2 linked regions of the Arabidopsis thaliana genome follow. The protein of the gene in region 1 interacts with the protein of each later gene in a pairwise test. Each region holds a gene or a part of one and is shown in the gene's direction. Other genes may lie near its edges.

Region 1 (8,747 bases):
GAAGCTCAGGTCTAAGAGGCTCGCTCCTGTCATGATCAAGGAGGTGACTAGAAGGGTTCACTTGGAGAACATATGGCAAGCAGCTTATACTGCAGGAGTTATCCTTCCTACACCAATCACCACCTGTCAATACTGGCACAGGTCATTGAACCCGAAGAAGCTAATTGATGTTGGGTTTTCAAGGCTTGGTGCGAGAATGACAATGAGCAGAACCATCAAACTCTACAAGTTACCAGATGCACCGATCACTCCTGGATTCAGGAAAATGGAACCACGCGATGTCCCTGCTGTTACACGGTTGCTTAGGAACTACCTCAGCCAGTTTGGAGTCGCGACTGACTTTGATGAGAATGATGTCGAGCATTGGCTACTCCCAAGAGAAGATGTCGTGGACAGTTACCTAGTAGAAAGCCCTGAAACTCACGATGTCACTGACTTCTGCAGCTTCTACACTCTCCCTTCAACCATCCTCGGTAACCCGAACTACACTACATTGAAAGCTGCGTATTCTTACTACAATGTGGCCACACAGACCTCGTTTCTTCAGCTGATGAATGATGCGCTAATTGTCTCAAAGCAAAAGGGTTTCGATGTGTTCAACGCGTTGGATGTGATGCACAATGAGAGTTTCTTGAAAGAACTGAAGTTTGGGCCAGGAGATGGACAACTTCATTACTATCTCTACAATTACCGTTTGAAAAGTGCCTTGAAGCCAGCGGAACTCGGGCTTGTTCTCTTATAAGCTCAACAACTTGATTTGATGGTATCAACAAACTTGAAATTTGTCTCTCTTTTTTTTTCTTCAGTCTGAACTACTTCTCCCATGGTTTACTGAAACTGAGTTTAATTATTTTGGCAATGCAATTTTGGATTTTGCTTTTAGTTTCACTTGTGTTCTCTGAGAGAGTTGACCCTGAGAAGTAAAGTCAACACTAGACGTGTGCGAGTTTCAATGGACTGCATTTTTAGGTCCAAGAAGTAGCTACGGCCCATCTATCGTAGAAGTTGTTTTTTGTACTAAAGCCTGTTATAGCCGAACTAGGTCGCTACGTTTCCTAACTTGTCGTTTATTAGGCTACTTTTAAATCGCACGCACCAATCCAGTTCTTACACGCGTTTTCACAAAAAGGACCTTACATGGGTTGTTCCCCCAATAAGAAAATTACACGTTGCAGAATCGAAGCAGTGGTCTATCCTTGTTATCGTCCTCTCGTCTTTATGGCTCTTCCAAGTCATTTTGAGAAATTTTCGATTTTGAGATTTTTTTCCAAATATTACAAAAGGAAATAATTAGATTCCTCTTTCTGCTTGCTATACCTTGATAGAACAATATAACAATGGTGTAAGTCTTCTCGCTGTATTCGAAATTATTTGGAGGAGGAAAATGGAGTGTGTTGGGGCTAGGAATTTCGCAGCAATGGCGGTTTCAACATTTCCGTCATGGAGTTGTCGAAGGAAATTTCCAGTGGTTAAGAGATACAGCTATAGGAATATTCGTTTCGGTTTGTGTAGTGTCAGAGCTAGCGGCGGCGGAAGTTCCGGTAGTGAGAGTTGTGTAGCGGTGAGAGAAGATTTCGCTGACGAAGAAGATTTTGTGAAAGCTGGTGGTTCTGAGATTCTATTTGTTCAAATGCAGCAGAACAAAGATATGGATGAACAGTCTAAGCTTGTTGATAAGGTCTGTTTCAATGTCCCTTGCCTTGTTTATGAAGAAAACAAACCACTATTCGTTGTGTATTTATGGATTTGATTGTGGATTTTTGTAGTTGCCTCCTATATCAATTGGTGATGGTGCTTTGGATCTAGTGGTTATTGGTTGTGGTCCTGCTGGTTTAGCCTTGGCTGCAGAATCAGCTAAGCTTGGATTAAAAGTTGGACTCATTGGTCCAGATCTTCCTTTTACTAACAATTACGGTGTTTGGGAAGATGAATTCAATGGTAAAAATCTCAATGATCCATTGTTTTAGTCACTATCTTCATGGTCTGTGTTTAACATGTTGTTTATTGTTACTGTTGAAGATCTTGGGCTGCAAAAATGTATTGAGCATGTTTGGAGAGAGACTATTGTGTATCTGGATGATGACAAGCCTATTACCATTGGCCGTGCTTATGGAAGAGTTAGTCGACGTTTGCTCCATGAGGAGCTTTTGAGGAGGTAAAGTATGGTTCCACTATGCATATCTTGAGAGGCTTTTTCTCTAGTTATTTTTGCATGACTTTGAACTGTTTTAAATACATAATTTGTTATTAATGTCTTCTAGGTGTGTCGAGTCAGGTGTCTCGTACCTTAGCTCGAAAGTTGACAGCATAACAGAAGCTTCTGATGGCCTTAGACTTGTTGCTTGTGACGACAATAACGTCATTCCCTGCAGGTAACAAGTCAGCTAGTACTATTCTGGTTTTACCACTACGAAAAGGTTCTGACTTCTAGCAAATGCAGGCTTGCCACTGTTGCTTCTGGAGCAGCTTCGGGAAAGCTCTTGCAATACGAAGTTGGTGGACCTAGAGTCTGTGTGCAAACTGCATACGGCGTGGAGGTTGAGGTATAATTTGAATATGATATTCCACAGCAATAACTATATGGAGGAATCATTGTTCATTGAGACTGTTTTTCTATTTGAAATCTTCAGGTGGAAAATAGTCCATATGATCCAGATCAAATGGTTTTCATGGATTACAGAGATTATACTAACGAGAAAGTTCGGAGCTTAGAAGCTGAGTATCCAACGTTTCTGTACGCCATGCCTATGACAAAGTCAAGACTCTTCTTCGAGGTTCTCTTTGGTGTTTCTCTCTCCTTCTAGTTAAATCGTTATTGTGATAAGTCTGTTGCTCATCAGCTGGAAATCCTTTCAGGAGACATGTTTGGCCTCAAAAGATGTCATGCCCTTTGATTTGCTAAAAACGAAGCTCATGTTAAGATTAGATACACTCGGAATTCGAATTCTAAAGACTTACGAAGAGGTAAGAATTGGTGGTCCTATATCAACATAGAAACTTCTTATTTGCTTTTTTAATTCGTTTAATATAAAACTGTAGGAGTGGTCCTATATCCCAGTTGGTGGTTCCTTGCCAAACACCGAACAAAAGAATCTCGCCTTTGGTGCTGCCGCTAGCATGGTACATCCCGCAACAGGTAGTAAGAGCAAGAAGCCTTGACCCGATGTACTTTTATTCACATCTTGAATCTGTACCATCTCTGACTTAGCTTTCCCCCAATTAAACAGGCTATTCAGTTGTGAGATCTTTGTCTGAAGCTCCAAAATATGCATCAGTCATCGCAGAGATACTAAGAGAAGAGACTACCAAACAGATCAACAGTAATATTTCAAGACAAGGTGAGCTCTATATAAACCACAAAGTTAACTATGCTGTTCTTTCACACAATGAGAAACTTTTAAAACTTGTGATTTTCTATTTTTTGGCAGCTTGGGATACTTTATGGCCACCAGAAAGGAAAAGACAGAGAGCATTCTTTCTCTTTGGTCTTGCACTCATAGTTCAATTCGATACCGAAGGCATTAGAAGCTTCTTCCGTACTTTCTTCCGCCTTCCAAAATGGTAAGCAAGACACTGATTCGTGATTCATAACAATGTTACTGTAAACAAGAAAATTGATTCTTCTTTTCACTTACTCAGGATGTGGCAAGGGTTTCTAGGATCAACATTAACATCAGGAGATCTCGTTCTCTTTGCTTTATACATGTTCGTCATTTCACCAAACAATTTGAGAAAAGGTCTCATCAATCATCTCATCTCTGATCCAACCGGAGCAACCATGATAAAAACCTATCTCAAAGTATGATTTACTTATCAACTCTTAGGTTTGTGTATATATATGTTGATTTATCTGAATAATCGATCAAAGAATGGTATGTGGGTTACTAGGAAGTTGGAAACAAACATGTATAGAATCTAAGGAGTGATCGAAATGGAGATGGAAACGAAAAGAAAAAAATCAGTCTTTGTTTTGTGGTTAGTGACCGAGAAATGTTTAAATCAACAAGAGTAAAAATGTTCAACACATGCTTTTAATTTTTATCAATTTATTTCGCTTATATTGTTTACGATTGCCATTTATTTTAAATATGATCACTTTCGTGTTCCTAAGTGCAAATTACTCAATAATCTATACACATTATTTATAAACAAGAAACTGCTAATTTTGGATTAGTGAAACTACAAGTGGTTAGTGTGCCGTCTTTAATCATTAATCTAATATTAACAAGAACAGAGAACAAGTATATGTTCGTTGCATCACATACAGAATCTAAGAACAAGCACCACATAATTATCAATTAAATTAATCAATCCAATGAAACTTCTTCTTAACCCTTTAAAAAAACAATTACTAGTCAATAAAATCACTTCTAAATTCGCTATTTGCACATTTTATTCAAAATGAATTATATATCTTTATTAATGTCAACCCCTTGAAATAATATAGAACATTCTTTCTAATATTTTTCTCACAATTATATCAATTAAAACCTTCAAAATTATCAATAAAACGACCATATCTTAAATTTCACAAAAATATAAGTCCCAACATAACAATTTTTTCGAAAAAGACTTTTCTAATAAAGTAGGCGCTTTCAATTTTCACAACAGTCAATAAATACATCACCCACTTTTTCTATCCAAGTCAACTAAAAACGCGGGTCTTCTTCTCCAAAACCCATTTCCTCACAAAATCCATCTGAGAAAAAGAGCAACAAGTTTCATTTTCATGGTGGTGATGACGAACAAATTCTTCGAATTAATCGGCGGAGCTCCGTCGTATTCTTCAGTATCCGTCGCTGTTAAAGGATCCGTCGGTGACGCCGTAGGAGGAACTGCTAGTCGTCGTGCTCTTCGTTGGACAATCGAAAATTTCCTTCCTAAAATCGATAGATTAGTTCTTGTTCATGTCATGCCTACAGTTACTACTATTCCATCTCCTTGTAAGTCTCGATTCGAATTTTTTTGTTAAATCAATTTCGAGATTCATGAAAATTTAACACTAGTTTTTGTTTGATTTAAAAGCTGGATCGAAGATTCCAATAGAGGAATTGGATGAGAGTGTTGTGTCTATGTATAAACGAGATTTGAGAAAAGAATTTGAACAAGTTTTTGTTCCGTTTAAGAGGATCTGCAAATCCAACAAAGTGAGTTTCTGTGAAAGCTAAATTTATGATACTGATTTTGGAAGTTTTGGAGAAGGCTTATGGAATAATTTTACTGGTTAAATGTTTAGGTTGAGACTTTGTTGTTGGAACATCATGATCCTGCAAAGGCTCTTTTGAAGTATATGTCAGATACTGATGTTGAGTGTTTAGTGATTGGCTCTTGCTCTTCTAATTTCCTCACAAGGTAATGTTACATAATGGGATTTGATATCTAGTATGTGTTTGTATATGGTATGATCTTGCTTAGACGTTTGGATTGGTTTTGACAGGAAAAAAGGACAAGAAATGCCATTAACGGTGCTAGGAGAAGCTCCAGAGACATGTGAGATATATGTTGTTTGTAAAGATAGAATCTTAACCAAATCGACGAATCAGTTTACCGCAGGTATGTTTCAATTGCATTGATCTAAAATCTGAAGTCAAGAAGGAAAAAAATACAAGTTTTATTGATTTCCCCTGTGGTTTTTGTTTCTGTGTGAAATTTTCAACAGATTCATCATCTAGTTTCCGTATACCAGAAGGAGCTGAAGCTTATACAGAATCTTTCAGTCGCACACGCTCTGATAAGACAGGGTTGTCTGCTTCATCTATAACATCTTCAGGCAGGATGAGAATTGGAAGGCCTGGCTCTTTACCGCATAGTCATCCGACCTCTCGAGTGTATTCTGATGCACAGTCTTCTTCAACTGATATTGTTTTGGTCGATGACGAACACTGTCGTTCTATCCTTAGGCATAGTACTGTTTCCACTAGTAAAATACAGATGGATCCTAGACCTCACTTAAAAACACCAAAGGTGAAGCATTTAATATATGACCATTTTGATTCTCTGTGACACAAAATGCATATGATTTTGATCCAAGATCTGTTTTTGCAGTCAGGTGTAAGAGCTGAGGTAGAGCAGCTAAGGAAAGAAGTGCAAACCACTCTTTCCATGTACAAACAAGCTTGTGAAGAGCTAGTTCATAAACAAACACAGGTTGGAGTTCTAGAAGAAAACTTTTTTTGTTCTCGAAATCCTTTCCTAATGTTTTTACATCTTATGGATTCATAAACTCAATCCCATGTTGTGACCTCAGGTCCAGTCTCTTTCCTCTGAGTGTATCAAAGAAACAGAAAGGGTCATCACTGCTCTGGAAAAAGAAGAAATGCGAAGGAAAGCAGCAGCAGAAGAGAAAGAAAAGCATCTAAAAGCTGTAAAAGAAGTCGAGGAAGCAAAATCAATGCTAGCCAAAGAGTTCTGCGAGAGGCAATTAGCCGAGCTAGATGCTCTCAAACAGTCCATAGAGAAACAGAAAGTCATTGAGCAACTCTTCTTGAGAGACGGGCGATACAGAAAGTACACAAAAGAAGAAATAGCTGCAGCTACAGATAATTTCTCTTCCCGTAAAATAATCGGCGAAGGAGGATATGGAAAAGTATACAAATGCAGTCTTGATCATACCCCAGTAGCTCTTAAAGTTCTCAAACCTGATTCTGTTGAAAAGAAAGAGGAATTCTTGAAAGAGGTAAATTACTAGTAGTCTCATGGCCTAATAACAACAGCAGCCTTTAACACTCTGAGATCTGAAATCAACTATTTTACTTTGCAGATCTCAGTCTTAAGCCAGCTTCGTCATCCCCATGTGGTTCTTCTCCTTGGTGCTTGTCCTGAAAATGGATGCCTTGTCTATGAGTACATGGAAAATGGTAGCTTAGATTGTCACATCTCTCCCAAAAAAGGGAAACCATCTCTCTCATGGTTTATCAGATTCCGAATCATCTATGAAACAGCTTGTGGTTTAGCTTTCCTCCACAACTCTAAGCCTGAGCCCATCGTCCACCGTGACCTCAAACCAGGCAACATTCTCTTAGACAGAAACTTTGTCAGCAAAATCGGTGACGTTGGACTCGCAAAACTCATGTCAGACGAAGCACCAGACAGTGTGACGGTTTACAGAAACTCGATTATCGCCGGTACACTCTACTACATGGACCCGGAATACCAACGAACCGGCACAATCAGACCGAAATCAGATCTTTACGCATTTGGAATCATAATTCTCCAGCTTTTAACCGCTCGACATCCCAACGGTCTTCTTTTCTGCGTTGAAGATGCAGTAAAGAGAGGCTGTTTTGAAGATATGTTAGATGGATCAGTCAAAGACTGGCCCATAGCCGAAGCGAAAGAACTAGCTCGCATTGCAATCAGGTGTTCGCAGCTCAAATGCAGAGACAGACCAGATCTTAGCACACAAGTCTTGCCTGCTCTCAAACGTATTCTTGAATCTGCAAATAGTAGACTCAAGACAGAACAAGCTAACGCACGAGCACCAACTCACTATTACTGTCCAATTCTTAAGGTAAATCGAATAACCGATGCACACCAACCACAATTCTCGATGGCTCAGGTTTTAAAATGTTTGATTCTGGTTGATTGTAGGAAATAATGGAAGATCCACAAATAGCAGCAGATGGATTCACATACGAACGAAAAGCGATAAAAGAATGGATTCAAAAACATCAAGATGTGTCTCCTGTTACTAAGCATCGGCTCAAACATTCTGATCTTACACCGAACCACACTCTCAGATCGGCTATACGAGAGTGGCGATCTCGTTCACGCTTAGACCTCTCCACTACTCTTGGCTCCTACTGATCACACTAATATATATACAGTCTAGTCTAATTCGTATATTGACTAAATACCCTGAACTTGTTTGAATCGGGTGTATCATCTCTGTGAATATGTATTGTGGTATTATATAATAAGTCAACAAGGATTTGGTTTGCTTTTTGCAGTTCTATATGAAGAGCATTTACAACTGATAATCAAGTGAAAGTTTAGAGGATTCATCTACAAATAGACTCAAATCAAACTTGGGTGAACTCAAGAGCGTTTGCGTCTGGATCACGAGTAAATATCGCTGGCCTCCCTGACTTACTCATTGTATATGCAATTCCTACAAAATCAAAAAATCTTCTTCAGAACGAAAGGAAACATCCTTTAAGCCAAAAGAAACTAAGAAGAAAGAATAAAAAAATATAAACTACCAGCTTTGTCTAAGATCTCTTTCAGATTTGAAACATCACGGATTGCAATACAAGCGTGTCGATCCCGGCCTCCGTGCTCGGGTCTACCTGTTAATGGATCTGGATTTGGAAGCTCCATAAGATGAATCATTTCTGAACCTACCCATAACCATGCTCCTCTATATGGAAGCTTGTCGTGAGGCCTTGCTTCGTTGATCTCAAGGCCTAAAATGTTCTGGTAAAACTCGAGTGACCGTTCTAGGTTCTCGCAGAGCAGACCGACATGATGAACCCCAACAACTCCATAATCTACAATAACAATCAACAATCAAAACTGGTAATCCGAGCTTAGTGTCTATAGATAAATGGTGACATTTGCTTAAAATGTTGTAACCACTAACCAGCAGACAATCAACACAATTACTTATTATCAGTTAATTACCGGTTTTGTTGTTAAGCTCTTTCTCTTGTACAACACTAATCCCTTCAATTGACGATCCTTGTGCCTTAGCCTTCAAGCTATAAAACCTAACATTGATCCTTTCTTTCCTCACACTCTTCTTCTGA
Region 2 (9,115 bases), about 16 Mb from region 1:
TTTGCTTTTTGGACCTTTTACGGCCTTTGCTTCTCATTAGGCGTGAAGCGTTACTGTCGACAACTCTGTCCCCATTCTCTCTTTATTTTTACCTACTTTCTTTCCCATTTTCACACTCAGAAATTCACAAATTACCCATCTTCTAGTTCAATATTGGGTAAATAATTCTTTTTTTTTTAAAACCTCAGATACATTTCACTTACTGTCCTAATTTCGTGGGAATGTTCAGTTTAATTGAGTTTAGAAATGCACCAAAATTCATTGGCAAATTTTTAACTCGATTGTAACTTTGAACTATTTTATTTTATTTTACCTACATAAACATATGACCCAAAATGAAAAAAAAATCATACCTGAGCCAAGATCAAATCAAAAGTAAAAACAAAAACTGAAAAACCTACAGTTGGGCCCTGTTATTTTACCTCCTATAGAAATTTGCAATATTCAATTTGTAAATTCGAGATACTATATTATTTTAAAAAATTTAGGTAGTAGATTTTCTACAAAAGACATGGCATGATTGTTGTTAGATTCGTATGCTCTAGTATTTCACTTATTTTCAACAATATATTCCCTAGACATGGAAATCCACAAAACCATATTCATCTACGCTAAATTTCAATTTAATCTCTATCCATATTTTATAAAGAAAAAAAATAAGAGATCAAATTCAGTTCTGTGTTCCTAAGAATCAAGCATTTTCCGAACATTCTCACAAAATCACGACCAAAACAAACGTGCTAAAAACAAACGAGGCAACGACGAAGCCAAACTAAACCTAACCGTACGATAAGAAAAACAGAGTCAACAAAACAATCGTAACCGTAGGATGAAGTAAGGTGCACAGTAACGTACCTGAAACGTATCCGCTTGAGATCATTACCACCGCCGGGAAGAGAAACGAAGGTTATGAGAACTCCGGGCTCAACCTGAGCAACCCATTCTTTAGGCTCTTTCTCCTCCACAAACACAATCGGGTCGACCCGGTTTCTCCCACTCGCCGATTTCGGAGTCGCTTCGCCGCTCGAAATCCCTTTTAGTCTCGCTTCCATCTCCTTTCCCCAAACCCTAGGCTGTTGTTGTTGCGTCGCCGCCACCGCCGCCGTAGCTGTAATCGAACTGTTTGATCTTCCGTAAAGCATTTTAAACCGTTGATCCGATTCGAAATCCGACTTTACCGACGACGACGACGGATTGTTCTTGATCGGACCTTGTCCTTGTCCCTGACCTTGTGCCGCCGTACACGGCGTACAATGCCGGTAAGCTCCTGATGCTTTCAGAGCCATATCTTTGAGCTGATATTGAATTGACGAAAATACCCTCAATCAGAAGAGAGAATTACGAAAATTGGAGACGGAGGAGAAGAGTGAGTTTATTTCAATTTACCTGAGATGTTAGAGATTTGGCGTTTTTAGAATCTGGATCGTCTGGTTGACCGGAGGATTCATCGCCTGCTCGCTTCGAACGAGCTATACACGTCAGCATTTTCCGGTGACTGGCTTGGTCTTTGATTTGAGATTTTTTTTCTTTCTCTTTTTGGATACGGAGAGAGAGAGACAGAGATGGTGTCAGTTTCTTCTACTTTGGTTTGGGTTCGGTGCTCTTTTTATGTTTTATTCTCTCTTTTTTTTTATAATTTCTGCTTAAGAAACTTTAAACCGGGATTACCGGTTTCCAATAAAGGTTCCGCGTCTCACTACGGTAATTACGCAATCCGGTGGTTAAAATTTCGAAAGTGAAAAAAGTAAAAAGTTTTGGTCTTGCATAAGGTAAGGTAAATCATTTTTGTTTGTTTACTGATTAGCTAAACTTGTACAGAGGTTAGACTATATACATGATTTTTGGCCTGTGGATTTAGACTTTCAGAGGTATCAAAGGTCGTTCTTCACACTCAAGTAGCCAAGTGTGCTGCAAGATTTGAAGTTAATCGATATGTATGCAAAATTTGACTCTGACTTTTGAGAAACCTAAAACGAAATAATTTATTATGTGTGGTTCTAAGCTAGATCACAATAATAAAAAGTTGTTCTTAGCATTATTCATTAAATGGGTACTGTAGTGTGTTGTTCATAACGCTTCTGATGGCAACTCATTGACATTTAATTTAAGGATAGCAATATGTTCCGTCCGACAATATTTATGTATGTGACGTCTTCGTCTACATTACATTTCAAGTGAATAATGATCCAACGACTCGAAAATATTAATAGTGTAAGTATTTTTGTTGTTGTTGTTGTTGTTGTAAATTTGGTAATGTACTAAACTGAAAATTAAAATGTTTTGGCAAAGGGTGGTGGTCCAAGACTTGTTTAGTTTACAAACAACTCTTCAGTATTTTTCTTTTTTTTCGACCAGCCACTATGGTCTTGTTATCGTTGAGTGTCAATATAACCTTTCTGAAACATTACACTAGGGTCACTAAGATAAATTGGTCTCTTCTCCACTTTTATTATTTCATATACAAATTTGTATGTACCAAGATCTTATCCACAAAATTTCGTTTTTCCCAAAACTATTATAATATTATTAAAGAGGTCAAAATGGTTTGTGCTTGTTTACAATATATTTAAGTTTTTTTTTGCTAAGTTTCTTACAACATTTCAAAATGCATGACAATGATTTTACTTAACTCATTTAAGCAAATAACTTCGCGATACAAACAAAAATCAAGTTACTATTATATAAAAATCAAGATAGAAACTGTAGAATAATCTATATAATTGTTGAGTACAAACTTTACAACTTAGCCGAACTATTGATTAGAGTTCATCGGGAAATGTCATATTTGAGTATTGTTGGTGGACTCGCAAATGAACAATTTAGACCACCAAATAGAGCTACATTTTCTTATGGTGAAGACTCAAAATCGGTTTGGGTTTAGCGCATAGATGGGCTTTAGTTTCGGCCCAGTGAAACTCTGTCTCAATCCTTCTCACCTGTAAACTTAAAAAAAGAAACGAAGAAGCTCTTTTTCTCCCCTCTGAAGAAGAAAAGCAAAATCCACGAGAGAAACAGATAGAAAGTTGCAAAAGTGCGTTCGATTTTTGCTTCTTCTTCTGTTTCGGATTCGGATTTGGATTTGGAATCTGCTCCTTTAGCAGAACCAGAGGAAATGGTGACGTACGTGAGCGCGTTGTTCTACGGATTCGGAGGGATAGTCGTCGCCGGAGTGGCGCTGCTCGTGGCTTTCCAGGAGAAGCTTGTGTACGTCCCAGTGCTTCCGGGTTTAAGCAAGTCTTATCCGATCACTCCCGCTAGGCTCAATCTCATCTACGAAGATATTTGGCTTCAATCATCCGATGGTGTACGTCTCCACGCTTGGTTCATCAAGATGTTCCCTGAATGTCGAGGTCCACACTCTCTTTGATCATTGAGTCTCCTTTCGATTCAGTTTTTTTTTCCTGGTAGATTTGATTTTACATTTTCGAATAAGCTTTTGAATCTACTGAATTTTGAGGGATTTTAGGTCTTGATGTCTCTGTCTTTAGCTAGGTTTTGGATTCCTTTTCTCAGATTTGTGATCCCTAAGTCATTTTAGCTTTAGTTTGGAACTTATCTGTCACCTAAAATCTAGTTGCTTGTGGTTGGTAGCTTTAGCCTAATTCGAAGTCTTTCTAATAGTTTATGTTTGGCATGCAGGTCCAACCATTTTATTTTTCCAGGAGAACGCTGGAAGTATCCTTTCCAGAGCCATTTCTTGGTTTTTGTTTGTTTATATTTGTATGCTCTAAGGAACCTATTTTATGTTCCATGTCTGTTAGCTGGGATACTTTGTCTTGTTACGACCTTGACCTTAGAATCCCAGACATCGCTCATCGTCTGGAGATGGTTCGCATCATGATACAAAAATTGAAGTGCAATGTATTCATGCTTTCATATCGCGGGTTAGTTTCAGTTTGCTGGTTTCTGGTCTATCTCTTATATAAATTGTTTGTTTTTGAGTCTAAACCTTGGATCTGTTTATACAATGCTTATTGATTTTCCCGTGCAACCAGCTATGGGGCAAGTGAAGGCTATCCTTCACAACAAGGTATCATAAAAGATGCTCAGGTTTGCTTGTCTCCCTAAATTTATCCACATATCTCTTCTGTTGCGTCTCCATGTATTCATTATCCATTTTCTTGCCTGATATTTTTTGTTAGGCTGCATTGGATCACCTTTCTGGAAGGACTGACATTGATACATCTAGAATAGTTGTATTTGGAAGGTCCCTTGGGGGAGCTGTTGGAGCTGTGCTTACCAAAAACAATCCAGATAAGGTACTATTAGTACATATTGCTATTGGTAGCATTTCATGAGTAGGGAAAATGTATATTTTATTAGAAGAGAGACAGTATAGGCCAAGTACCAGCCGCCAGCTCTGTGGATGTTACTGTTTAAAGGGAGAAGTATTATTGAGAGTCCCACATGGTTACGAATGAGACTAACAAATGCCTTATAAATTATAACGCCTAAGGGCACCTTCCTCTCTCCTCTAGGGGCTTGGTTTGGATGGCTTCTTATCAGTATATTAATGAGATTCTGGTTACTGTTGCAAATTATTATAACTCATGGTCTTTGGCAGATGACCTGGAGTCCAATTGTATAAAAATTTCTAGAGTACCTCTTTATTTAGATTCTAGTCACTTATCATCAGTAACAATCTACGCGGTTTGTACTATCTGAATATAATTATTTTTTGTGTTAAAGTTTTAGTCATCTGGCAATAAAAGAACCTGGTTGATAGGGGTATTCGTTTGAGCTTTGTTATAGGCCTCCTTTTATCACCCCCACTGATATTTACTATTATATGCACAAGAACCTTATCCTTCTCAGAAAATTTCTTGGTAAATGAAATTTGTAGATGCCTTGATTAAGCTATTATTTTTGTTCTTGTTGTCTCTACTTCCAGTATTTCATTTGATATCCACACGCCTTATAGTTGTATGTTTACCATTTCTCAATGTCGCTATATAGGTATCTGCATTGATTCTGGAAAATACTTTCACATCCATTCTTGATATGGCTGGCGTTTTGCTGCCGTTCTTGAAGTGGTTTATTGGAGGAAGTGGTACGAAAAGCCTGAAGCTTCTTAATTTTGTTGTACGTTCTCCCTGGAAAACAATTGATGCTATTGCTGAGGTAAGATGCAAATGTAGACTCTTGCAGATAGATGTTAGATGGATTCTTTTCGTTTACTGTTTGCATATGCCATAAAATGACTCATTTAAGCAAAAAACACTATGGTACCCCAATGACCTCACTGGCATATATATTAATATATCTCATGCATTTGCATTCCTTCATTTCCTTTTAACGGGACATAGTGTATATATCTTTGCGGAATATGTTGAATTCATGATAAGCTAACCCGAACTATAAAATTATTCATGTATGCCGCAAGCTGATTGATTGCTCCCTGATTTGTTCTATGGAGTAAAACTTGAAAGGAAACAAGAAAGGAGCTTGATGTGCTGCTAAAAACATATCCCTGTTAAAAAAATGTCTCATCGTTTGATTTTCTGTAGCAACCTGTGATAAACTGATCTTGCAACAATGACAGATCAAACAACCAGTGCTTTTCCTCTCTGGACTGCAAGATGAGATGGTCCCTCCATTTCACATGAAAATGCTGTATGCGAAAGCGGCTGCCCGTAACCCTCAGTGCACATTTGTGGAGTTTCCAAGTGGGATGCATATGGATACATGGCTGTCTGGTGGTGAAGTTTACTGGAAAACAAACTTGCAATTTCTCGAAAAGTATGCGCCTGAGAAAAGGAAAGAAGATACAGGTAAGATGATCTACCAAGTATAAGTAACAATTTTGTTTTACAGAGATGTTTCTTGGGATGTTTTTCCCAAAGTAGAATACTAGGCTTGACGTTGGTCTCTAATCTGATGACAGGAAGGTAACGATCAACGATGCTGTGTTTAGAGGAAGATTCGACTCACTTATTTCCTATTGCAACCTGAAACGACGGTATTGTTTGTTATAAGCATGTGTATACGTATGTTGCATTTGGGAGTGACAGATACAACTTGTTCAGAGAGTGAGATATTGGACAGGAACTTTTGTAAGCAGAACCAGCTAGTGGAGATGGCAAGTGTAAGCTAATCAGATGCATTTGCTTCGTCTCAGTTTTCCTTCTTTTTTTTGGGTTATTTTTTTTCCAATTGTTGTTGGTGTTTCTCATCTGATCGTAACTATTTCCTCTGGATGATCATGGCTTTGTAGATGATTGAGAAAAGTGAAAAAAGACATGGTTATATGATTATATCTTGAATGTGTTGATTACGTCTGTCATTCATAATATTTATGAAATCTGTAGAGTAGTTTTTTTCCCGACAAACTTGATTATGTTTGAAAATGAGATAACACCAAACTAAACGCACGAAGACATTATTAATGTCCATTATTTATGTATTTTTATTTTTAAATAAGTGTTGTGACTAGACCGGGTCGGTCACTGTCCACGGGGCAACTTTTTAGTCTGCATTAAGTTTTCTTACTTTATCACTTAAGAACAAAAATTCTGCTTTAGAAAAAAAAAAGAAGCAAACCTCACTGTTCTTTCATCGTTTCCGAGAGAGGAGAGACGGACATGGAAGGAGGAACTGCGCACTACAGCCCTCGAACTGTCGAAGAAGTCTTTCGAGATTTTAAGGGCCGTCGAGCTGGCATCATCCAAGCTCTCACCACTGGTCTCTTCTTTCTTCTCTTTGCTTTTTAAAGTTTGAAACTTTTCTTATGGGTTTTGAGTTTTTCGTGGGAATTCTTCTCATGACGATCGTTTGGTGGCTTTATTTAGACCCTTTTTCAACAATTGTGCTCTAGTGTTATGGATTGTGTTGATGATGCTTAGTTCTTCGAATTAAGAACAATTAATTTCTTTTTTTTGCAGATGTGGAAGATTTTTTCCAGCAATGCGACCCTGGTTAGCTTTTTTCTCTCTCTAGCCTTAAGTATGCTCTCAAGCTGTTTCAGTTATTCCTGATTTTGAATATGCAAAGTTGAGATGGTAACATAGGCTTGTCCAAATCGACACTCACACTGAAAAGTATAAGATCTTGCTCTGCTGCTTACATGTGTTTTGGTACTGGTGACTGATTATGTTGAACATTTGAGCAACTTTTATTTTAGTTCGGTGGTTTGGTCTCCCCATGAACTATATACTCTTTCGCATTTGGTGCTGTTATCTTTCTCTATATCTCGCTTTTGACTTCATGCTTTGTGCCTTGATCGACATAACCATAACCATTTAGAGGTTGCATGTCTCTATGAAATTTCTTGTGGCTCTAAAACTTGTTTTAGTTAAGAGGAATATATTAATTTTTTGTCATCAATATATTAATTTAATAAACATGATTTCGTTATTGAATATAGCTGCTTGTCTTGATTTTACGTAGCTAAATATCGTTTTCAGAGAGTATTTCGTTGCTTTCTCTGCTAATTAAGTAGCGTTGATAAACTGAAGTTTGTATGACTGTTTTATGACATTTCAGAGAAGCAGAATCTCTGCTTGTATGGATTCCCAAATGAAGTGTGGGAAGTTAACTTACCAGCTGAAGAAGTGCCTCCTGAGCTTCCCGAACCTGCACTCGGCATTAACTTTGCCAGAGATGGGATGCAGGAAAGAAACTGGCTTTCTCTCGTTGCTGTCCACAGTGATGCGTGGTTACTTTCTGTGTCTTTTTACTTTGGTTCAAGATTTGGTTTCGATAGAGCTGACAGGTATCATTCTTTCTTTCTTGGTTGCTGTGTTTTCTCTTCTAACCTGGTGTTCGTTGTTTAATATCTTCTCTGCTCAATTCTCTACCATTAATTATCATGATATCTGAAGCATTTCCATACTAACCCGTACACTTACAAATTCAGGAAGCGCTTGTTTAGTATGATAAATGAGGTTCCTACTGTATATGAAGTTGTAACTGGAAATGCAGAGAAGCAAACAAAGGAAATGCCCTCTTCAGCAAATCAAAATGGCAACAGATCCAAGTCAAATTCAAAAATGGTAAGTCTCATGCTCTCCTTTAATAAGATACAGAACATTAATTATGAACTAAGAACAAACCAAATCCTTTATTAACTATGAACTGGGAACTATGAACATTAATTACTATGCTACTCTTCCAAACCCTTTCTCAACTCAGTATCGCGATCCTATCACCTTCGGTTCTCTATATAACTCCTCCCATAGTACACTAACCGGTCTAAGTTGTTCGTTAGTTGAGCTGACAACTCAACTACAATCCTACAGAAAAAGGTCTATGATTGTTAATGGTATCCTGAAAGTTTTGCGGAAATAGCTCTTGTTTCATTCTTAGACCTTCTTTTCGATACTCAAGCTTTGTCCTTCGTCTACTCTTATCATTTTTTGTTTTGTCTTGCAGTATTTCAGAAATTAGGAATGGTTAAATGGATATTCAATAAAGCACAGCACTGGCATATGTTATTCACATTCACATCGTAAAGGATTCAACCTATTTATGACATTTTCATATACAGTCATTGCACTATCTTGGAAGTCTCATTTGAGTAGCTGCTACACAATTCAACTATAGTTTAACAGAACACCTTGATTTCTAACTTTTTAAGAGACACGTTTGGAAATATTTGAACATTGAAATTATTTATAGTTATATGAAAGGTTTTCCTTCTTATATTATAACTACATATATATTTATTTATGTTTCAGATAACACAACCATATTTGATCAGGGTTAAAGTATCAGAAACTGTTTTGTTTTTGTGCTTTAAGGTTACTGTTGTAGCGTACCTACTACCTACAATACTTCTCATTTTCTGCTAACCTCGAGCGTATGCTGCACAAGTTTGTTCCTTAAACATCTGTTTCATCATATGCATTATAGATTGAGATCTTACACAGTTTGCTATTGAGTTCTAAAACATTAACTGAACACAATACTCTTACTTCCATAATCGTAGTTTGTGAATTGTGTGGCATAAGAAACCTCTTAAGTTTCAGGCAGCACAAAGATGTATCTTTAGTTGCAATCATCTAAGCGGCAGGTCTGGAATTACTGTATCAGTATGCAATGAAATGGCCAATTTATCACAAGCTTACCGCTCCAGTGACACTTGTTGATTACTTTTTATAGTTTACTCTCTGCTATT

What was found.
Region 2: the proteins of AT5G57035 (region 1) and WAV2 interact in a protein complementation assay, tested with the Arabidopsis thaliana proteins (one large-scale study listed by BioGRID).

The regions. Positions count from the first base shown.
Region 1 is NC_003076.8:23,076,014-23,084,760, forward strand, and holds AT5G57035 (U-box domain-containing protein kinase family protein), read left to right. Parts: upstream 1-4,633; 5' UTR 4,634-4,729; coding exon 4,730-4,943; intron 4,944-5,025; coding exon 5,026-5,147; intron 5,148-5,236; coding exon 5,237-5,352; intron 5,353-5,437; coding exon 5,438-5,553; intron 5,554-5,659; coding exon 5,660-5,964; intron 5,965-6,045; coding exon 6,046-6,147; intron 6,148-6,247; coding exon 6,248-6,676; intron 6,677-6,760; coding exon 6,761-7,510; intron 7,511-7,590; coding exon 7,591-7,806; 3' UTR 7,807-7,975; downstream 7,976-8,747. Other genes in the region: NMT1 (myristoyl-CoA:protein N-myristoyltransferase), read left to right, coding at 1-742; LUT2 (Lycopene beta/epsilon cyclase protein), read left to right, coding at 1,385-1,678, 1,767-1,938, 2,020-2,155, 2,262-2,372, 2,441-2,543, 2,631-2,774, 2,857-2,964, 3,040-3,136 and 3 more; AT5G57040 (Lactoylglutathione lyase / glyoxalase I family protein), read right to left, coding at 8,022-8,110, 8,202-8,489, 8,623-8,747.
Region 2 is NC_003076.8:6,940,313-6,949,427, reverse strand, and holds WAV2 (alpha/beta-Hydrolases superfamily protein), read left to right. Parts: upstream 1-2,913; 5' UTR 2,914-3,112; coding exon 3,113-3,350; intron 3,351-3,639; coding exon 3,640-3,675; intron 3,676-3,805; coding exon 3,806-3,884; intron 3,885-3,995; coding exon 3,996-4,050; intron 4,051-4,142; coding exon 4,143-4,259; intron 4,260-4,956; coding exon 4,957-5,121; intron 5,122-5,542; coding exon 5,543-5,771; intron 5,772-5,884; coding exon 5,885-5,892; 3' UTR 5,893-6,473; downstream 6,474-9,115. Other genes in the region: BRXL4 (BREVIS RADIX-like 4), read right to left, coding at 856-1,295, 1,387-1,485; AL5 (alfin-like 5), read left to right, coding at 6,582-6,681, 6,882-6,914, 7,483-7,711, 7,856-7,991. UniProt on the Arabidopsis thaliana protein: Involved in the regulation of root growth. Involved in the suppression of the root bending in response to touch stimuli, gravity and light. Negatively regulates stimulus-induced root bending through inhibition of root tip rotation.